Tribolium castaneum: one gene and its partner. The protein of the gene in region 1 interacts with the protein of each later gene in a pairwise test. Links are inferred from orthologs where the notes say so. Each region holds a gene or a part of one and is shown on either strand. Other genes may lie near its edges. The genes, in order: Rgl and Ras85D.

Region 1 (3,294 bases):
CTGTTGAAAATTTTGAAACCACAAAATCGAAGAATAAGGTAATGCGCAACGACTTCTAATTAATTTATCTTTTGTTTACATATGACAGACGGGACAAAAAATCTTGTGTGTAAAAATAGCTTTAAAAAATATTATTTATGTTCATAAACTTTATAAATCGTTTTGTTGTTATAAACAACATTTTTAGGAACATAGGAAATCTTATATTGATTTGCGCTACTCACTACTGCGGCATTCGAGTATTTAATTTTTAATTTCTATCGTGTTTTCAAATATTTAAATATCATGTGCACCTTGTTTCAACTAATTGCAATTATGTGGGTTTGTAAGCCAGCCTTATGTTTAGAAATCTATTACTTCATCATCTTTAAGGCAACACAATTTCTGTAACTTACAGGAAGCAAAATGTTTATCAATGACAACGAATGTCTTTTTTCTTGACATAAACCATTTTTTTCGGCACCTAATACAAACTTCTTTCTACAAAACGTTTAATTTAATAAAAATACTTAAAAATTTAGCTTATTTAGCTAAAAGTGCGTTCATATTTTTTTCACTAATTAGAGAAAGAAAATGTATATTTTAATTAATCTTTTATTAAATGTTTAATTAACTATGGAATATTATTTTGCTTCAAACACTTCGAACTTGAGGACGTGGCGCCCTCTAACCGCCACTGGCAGCTTTTCCAAGTTATAGAAAAATTTATTTTGGACCATTTCACAAAGTGATGAAAGAGTAATTAATTAGGGATTTTTAGATTGTGGGTTAAGAAGAAACACGAGTTCTGTATAATTTCCTTTATTACAAAAATAGGTACATTAGAAAGATGCTACAGAAAATATTGAAATTGATATTGTCTAAATTAAGTACCATTAGAGTAATTAACAAATTTGCCACGTCACTAGTAATGCTTGTTAATTAGTCAGGCTAAAGGTGAAAAAGTTGGTCCTACTTAACACACTCTACATTAATAAGTACAATAAATTACATTTGTTCACATTTACAATACTTAGCCCATTATTAATTTACATTAATTACACAAAAAGTAAAGCTTTAAATTAATTTAAAAAAGTGAAATAAATAAAACAATCCATGCCATATGGTTACTTCAGCACATTTCAAATCCTCATCGCAATAAATAAATAAAAATAAAAACGTAAAATGTGATGTAAAAAGAGAGTATTTGTGCTTTTTATCACAGTTGTTATTTGTTCCGTTATTTGTCAAAAACAGCTCATTTCATTTACCATTTAATTAAATTAAATTGCACCTATTATGTAGCGGCTTCACTTCCCTTTCTTCATACTAGTGTCAGACTCTTCGGATTTCTTCGGACGCAGAATAAAATTCAAGTTGTAGGCGGGATTCACGGCGTAGTAGACATTAGCATTTGATGGAAGGACCATCTCTGCAAAAAAATATTTCATCTTAACAATTTTTTTTAAATAATGCCACAATTTTTATTAAGTCCAATAAAATGTCTAACTCAACAAATAATAATTGAACAAACGTTCGACGTAGAAAACATAAGATTTTTCAAATATTTCGCTAAAAGGGCCCCTTGTGTTCATAAGATGACAATAAAAAACAATAACGAGAAGCGCCCAAATTTCAGAGATTCTCATTGTAAATACATCAAAAAAGCACCTTCCTCTGTATTTTTGGTACTCGAAAGTTTTTAAGTAATGTAACAGAAATCAATGATCAGCCAAACCTATTTGTGCCCACCTTTGCAGCAAATAGTTACCTAAGATTTTCTTAAAAACAAATTCTATTTTTGTTAATTGGTAATTTTCAATTTTTGGTTCAATTTAACAATATTTTAGCAGTGTTTGCATAATTAGCAGTGATTTTAAAATTTGTAAACTTGATACGTAAGCTCTATAAGTTTAATATTGGATTAAGACAAAAAGTTGCTGGAAAATTAAATGACGTTTTTGTGAGTTGAAAATTTTAACAAAACGGTTTCTTTAACAACTAGTAAATAGTACTATTAATTACTATTATAATTGTTATATCAATTAGTTATCAAAAAATAAAAATTTTTTTGTTACTAAGCTTTTAATTTTTATATCTTTATTCTAATTAAATTTACATCATTCCTTTGGTTCAGTTAGGTAAAATTTTAGTAGTACTTCTATCATTCAACGTAAAACGTTCCTTGTAAAATGTCTTTCGGGTTGCACAACTTTGTTTGCCTTGTTTAAAATGGTAATTTTTGGAAAAGATATTCAATGAGTCCTTGCTCATGTAAATGACTCAAAATTCATTATTTTCGCCAATATCTATAATAATGCTTTTGCATTTCATTTAGAGAAAGCTCCTTGCTTTCGAAGGAAAAAAATCGATTCGGAACTGCTTAAATAGCTTTATTTTGTCCAGAAAAAAATATTTGCTTAGTAGTTTTGATGAAATAAGTTGATATTCGATGATCCCTCGTTTATTATACGAGTAAGCTAAATAATTGGAAATCGCCAAGTCGCCTTATTATGGGTGAAAACTATGAGCTAAGTACTAGTTTTGGCAAAATATATAGTTTTTTTCATGTTACCTCTCTTATAAATGGGCTAAATAGGCCCAAAGCACTTTATTTTGGCTTAAAATAAAGTTTTTTTTGAGTTGGTTTTGATAAGATACGTGAGTTTTTTAGTTAGCTTCAAAATGCCTTTTAAATTATAATACATATTATAACTTTTTCCAAGAAGAACGATTTTTGGACTTACGAGTAGTATTTGTCGAAATATGCAGATTTCCAATGCTTTGGAGCGACTCAAAACGTCTTATTTTGGCCAAAAATAAAGAATTTCTAATTACTTTTGTTAAAATAAATTGAGTTTCGTTGATTTCTCGTCTATAGACAGAACTGAAAATCGTTAATCGCTTTATTTTGGTTGAAAACGATGTTTTTATTATTAGTTGTTAACATATCTTGATTCTATTCATAATTCCTAGCTTATAAACGAGCTAAATCGCTTTGGAATGCTCCAAAGTATCTGATTTCTTTTAATTGAAAATGCCAACATTTGTTTAAAATTAAAAATTAAAAATAGAATTAGAACAGCAGGATGCGGTTCGACCCCTATTATTATTTTTTCAAAAAACAATTCAAATTTTTTTAGAGATAGACCGTACAGACATAAAAAACATCTAACAGCACATATCAGCAGGTAATAAATGATAAAAATTTTAACAATTTTAATTGAGAGGTAAGGGAGTTTTTAACATTTAAGTTCTTTTATAGCACCTGTTCTCCCACTTTTTTGTCTTTCTGTTTATCTTTTTCAGTTAACC
Region 2 (4,539 bases), on another chromosome or scaffold:
ATATTCTTTGGTAGAGAAGTAAATTCGTCGGTTAAGTCGTCGCTCCGTTTAGGAAAAACGTCAGTACTTTTGCTCCGTGTATTGTCTATATGCGTATTATCGAGTTCGTTTTGCAACGTCTTCATAATATCGGGTATGCTTTTGTAGTCTTGGGGCGAACAACTGTACTTATTTTCGCCTTGGTTTGTGTAACTATAAGGGTAGGTTTGTATCGTTTCGGGGGCGTAGTAGTAGCCGTTGTGGTTCGAATAATGCGACGTGGGGACGTAACTGGTGGAGCTGGGAATGTTGTAGGTGTAGTTGCTGGGGCCCACCATGGGATAAGCGGGCGTTGAGTAGTTGGGTTTAGATTCTTCTCCTTTTAAAACTTGCGCTAGCTCTTCCAAATCATTGATTGACTTTAGCTCCATGTTGTCGAAGGGGCTCGAAGTGTCCGCCTCGAAGTCGGAGATATTGAACGGACTTTTGTCCGTCTGGCTCCCGGACGAGACGGGGGTCAGGACAGTGGAGTAGGTTTTGACAGGCATTAACATTGATTGGTTTTGTTGGTAACATTGACTAGGGCTTGAAACTTCGATCTCTTCTTCTAGCTGATAATCGGTCTGCTCGTCTTGCCGCTTTTTCTCCTCTCTCGCTTTCTCTAGTCTCTCGTTTAACTGCTGGAACATCACAGATCGCGCGGTCCTCCACTCCTTCATTTTCTCTATTACAGTCTTTTCTAAAACAAACTCGTAATGCGGGATCGTATCTTGGATTTGCTTGTTTAAAGTGAGTCTTTGTGCGTAGGACATTGCCAGGCCTATCCGTGGAGGGGGCTTGTACTTTTCGGATATCTTCACTCGGACGTTGTCCATGGAACCGCCGGGGGTTTCTTGCTGTTTGTTCGACATTGTCACAACTGTCGGGGGATCGCCTTACATGACAATTTTTTCAAGGAGATTACTCACCTTAACCTTACACAACTGGGACACTTTTCCGAATTTCAGGAGCTAACAACACAGAAGTTACATCGTTAAGTAAAGGAAAGGCGCGGTTTTGATTCGTCCTGCTTGCAGAAAATCAACTTCGAGTAATTAATAACATTAAAATTAATTCTTTACGAATATTTTTTATCTTTGTCATCTGATGACATATTGGCTTTAGGGGATTTGGGCCGTTGGCCACACTACACAATGCTCACAGAGGTGGGCAAAATAGAGAGACCCTTCTCGACTTTGACAACGAATAAAAATTCGAACCTATCGTATAACTCACGTTTTTGTGGATTCTATGCAATAAAATTTGTTCGTGAGGGGTTTAGACCATGTTATGGTGCGTCGTTTCTAGGCGTTTGGGGTACAAAAGAGTGGTTGACGTTGTTTACGTCTGTGGTGATGCTATGATGGGTGGGTTGTGAAGCTGAAGGTGTGTTGGCAGCATTGTTTAGTAGTGCATTTGACGGTCTTGATAACTTTTGTTACTCTTTCGTTCTTGATTACAATTAATTAGAGTAATTTACTGGGCATACGAGTGTTCTTAATTGCTTCAGTTTAAATGTGTGCTGTGTTGATTTTATTATGCTGGGATAACGAATAAGAAGACCTGCATAGCCTGCAAAAATTAATAAAAAAAATTAAAAACCGTGTGCTTCTTGGTATTTTCGTTTGCTTAGCCGTTTTGGTATTTTCTACATAAAATGACTGAATACAAACTAGTAGTAGTTGGAGCAGGTGGTGTCGGCAAATCAGCTTTGACCATACAATTAATCCAAAATCACTTCGTCGACGAATACGACCCTACCATTGAAGACTCCTATCGAAAACAAGTAGTCATCGATGGGGAAACGTGTTTACTGGATATTTTGGATACGGCAGGACAGGAAGAATACAGTGCCATGCGAGACCAGTACATGAGGACAGGGGAAGGTTTCCTTTTGGTTTTCGCCGTTAATTCAGCTAAAAGTTTCGAAGACATTGGAACATACAGGGAACAAATTAAAAGGGTTAAAGATGCCGAAGTCGTACCAATGGTACTCGTAGGAAACAAATGCGACCTCACTTCGTGGGCTGTAGACATGAACCAAGCCAGAGAGGTAAAATTCTCACTAAACCAGACACCTGGCGCCTAAACAAACCAATTGTTCTAACGTGTTTTTAAGACAACAAAAATCACACATTTATAGCAATTGAGTAGGTTTCCTCATTCAAAATACGTCAATAGGTGTTGGTGAAAGAGGAATGCAAAAACAAATGATTGATGCTGATGACTCACTAATATGTTTATATCACAGGAAAGAAATTAAGTAAATATTTCTACCAAATCTTATTATTATCTGAGCCGAGTGGTTTATTTAAGAACATTCCACTTGTTTTTCCCATTTATCCACCTTCCTGGATAGTAGGTTCCTGTAATTTGACTCTCGCTGTTGCTTAGCAACTGATACAGGGTGACTCATGGTTGGGCGAGTGTATCTTGATTTTTTCTTTCTAGCAGGAGTTAAAGTAATCTTCGATCTACTCAAAATATCACATAAAATAGCTTTTTTCTCGATATTTCTTCATTATAAAAATGCGAATTTTGTTTAGGTGGCGCGGCAGTACGGGATCCCGTTCGTGGAGACGTCGGCGAAGACCAGGATGGGTGTGGACGAGGCATTTTACACGTTAGTTAGAGAAATACGTAAGGACAAAACGAGAAGCGGTAAACGCCAGCACAGGTACATCGGCGGCCACGGTCGTGTTCCTTTTAAGTTGCGATGCACCATCCTTTAAGACAGACTCATCGTTTCGATGACCAGCAAAAAAATTTAAAAAAATGGGATCGTGTTTTGCTTCGCATTTTTCTCCTCTGTGAAAGTGTGATAGTGTAAAAAGTAATAGGGGGGAGCGACGCTTCACTCTTCTCCCCCGATTGTTATATCATTTGACAATTCGTGTGCGTGTTTCCATAATTCCAGTGTGCGAAAATGTGTAAGAGGAAGCTTATGAAAGAAGTTTTTTTATGTACCACGTTTTGCTTTTAGTTCAAGTGTGTCTTTTCTGCTCAGTATATTCTTACTTGTCGATTCTTAAATTTGCTGTAAATACTTTTTAGATATTATATTGAAAAAGCTTCGGAAACATTTTTCGTCTCTTTGCACAAATTTTTGTTTTAAAGAGGATAAATACACGGTTTTATATATGTCAGATATTAAAATTTTATATGTATATTCTGAATGTGATGTATATTTTATTGATAGTTTTATTTAGTTCTGACGAGAAATTTGTACAGTTGCGCAACATTTTTGGCGAGAAAAGTTGATATTAAGATTATTGTTTCTAACGGATTTCCTTTTAATTATGTAATATCTCAGGAATAGCATATCATGTATAGTTTGCGCACAAATTTGTATGTGCCTCAAAGAGAACTCGTTCTCTTCGTTTTTTGTTGATATTAATGTAGTTATCCTCTTTAATGAGAATTTTTTGTCATGTTTCTGGATACGATGAATAAACTAATCGCTCATCTGCCTCCCAATTGAACCAGTTCGTTTTGTTTTCGTTTTATTCCTCGTATTCTGGCATAAAGTATAGTTAACTTCAAGCAATGATCAATCGTTAAAGAAATATAACCAAGTTTAAGCTTAATCTTGGTCTTGACATGTTATTCCCCGTTTTTTCATATGAGATTTTTCTTAATGTTCTACTAATCTAGTTTTAATTTTGCCTTCATATATTATACAAAAAGAAGAAAAAACAAAATAAAAATATATGTAGCAATTTAGTTTATAGATATGTCTACTAAAATTCTCTTATTAATAAAATGTTAAATATTTACACACCTCGTTTTATTCAACAACTTTATTGAAAACTATAGACCCAAGAAAAAACCTACAGTTAAAATATAGCAGTGCACCTTATTAATTAAACAAAAAGAACACAAACAAACTGATCAAGGCAAAGATAGTGGGCGGAAGTATTGACGGCAATACAACGCGATCGTACTCAGAGGTTTATCTTGGGGCTCAAACTGTCTATTATTCCTTTCAGTCGCACGATAATAAGCCGCACTGTATTGTTTATCAAACGCATTCAAGTCGATATGACTCCTCCCCAGCGCTTTACACGCCAGAAACAAGATGTCGCGATAAATCGAAATCCGGTTTTTCCCCTGATGCGGACCGTGTGACTCACGCTCCGACGCCAAGTTCTTCAAAGGCTCCGCCAGGTCGTTGAGCCGAATACTGACGATCACTTTCTGCATAAACCTGCAACAACCCAGCCACTAAACCAATCCACCCCAACCAAATGACTCACGATTTCGTTACGATGTTTTTATTGATTTGAGACGCGTCCCGCAACCTCCAAAACGTGTACATTGGCGGGCGCTCGCTGTACAGTCTCGGGTCATCCCACAGGCATCGAACGCACACCTGCGCTGCCAATTGCTCTAAAAAATAATCAACAGTAAATTGTCAATCAACAAAAACAAAAATAAAAATTATGCCCAACTTACGTCCCTCCTCTTTGTCAGCTAACAAACCAGAAAAACAATTACCGCACAATTCTTACCACACTGACT

The links.
Region 2: the proteins of Rgl (region 1) and Ras85D interact in a two-hybrid assay, tested with the Caenorhabditis elegans proteins (3 studies listed by BioGRID). The link is inferred for Tribolium castaneum from reciprocal best matches to the Caenorhabditis elegans genes rgl-1 and let-60.

Annotation. Positions count from the first base shown.
Region 1 is NC_087398.1:14,557,155-14,560,448, forward strand, and holds the end of Rgl (ral guanine nucleotide dissociation stimulator-like 1), read right to left. Parts: intron 1,412-3,294; coding exon 1,290-1,411; 3' UTR 786-1,289; downstream 1-785.
Region 2 is NC_087397.1:5,188,162-5,192,700, reverse strand, and holds Ras85D (ras-like protein 1), read left to right. Parts: upstream 1-1,437; 5' UTR 1,438-1,675; coding exon 1,676-2,071; intron 2,072-2,564; coding exon 2,565-2,750; 3' UTR 2,751-3,794; downstream 3,795-4,539. Other genes in the region: uncharacterized protein LOC663430, read right to left, coding at 1-890; DENN domain-containing protein Crag, read right to left, coding at 3,910-4,225, 4,275-4,407, 4,474-4,491. UniProt on the Caenorhabditis elegans protein: GTP-binding protein with GTPase activity. The level of let-60 controls the switch between vulval and hypodermal cell fates during C.elegans vulval induction. May stimulate the guanine nucleotide exchange factor (GEF) activity of rap-1.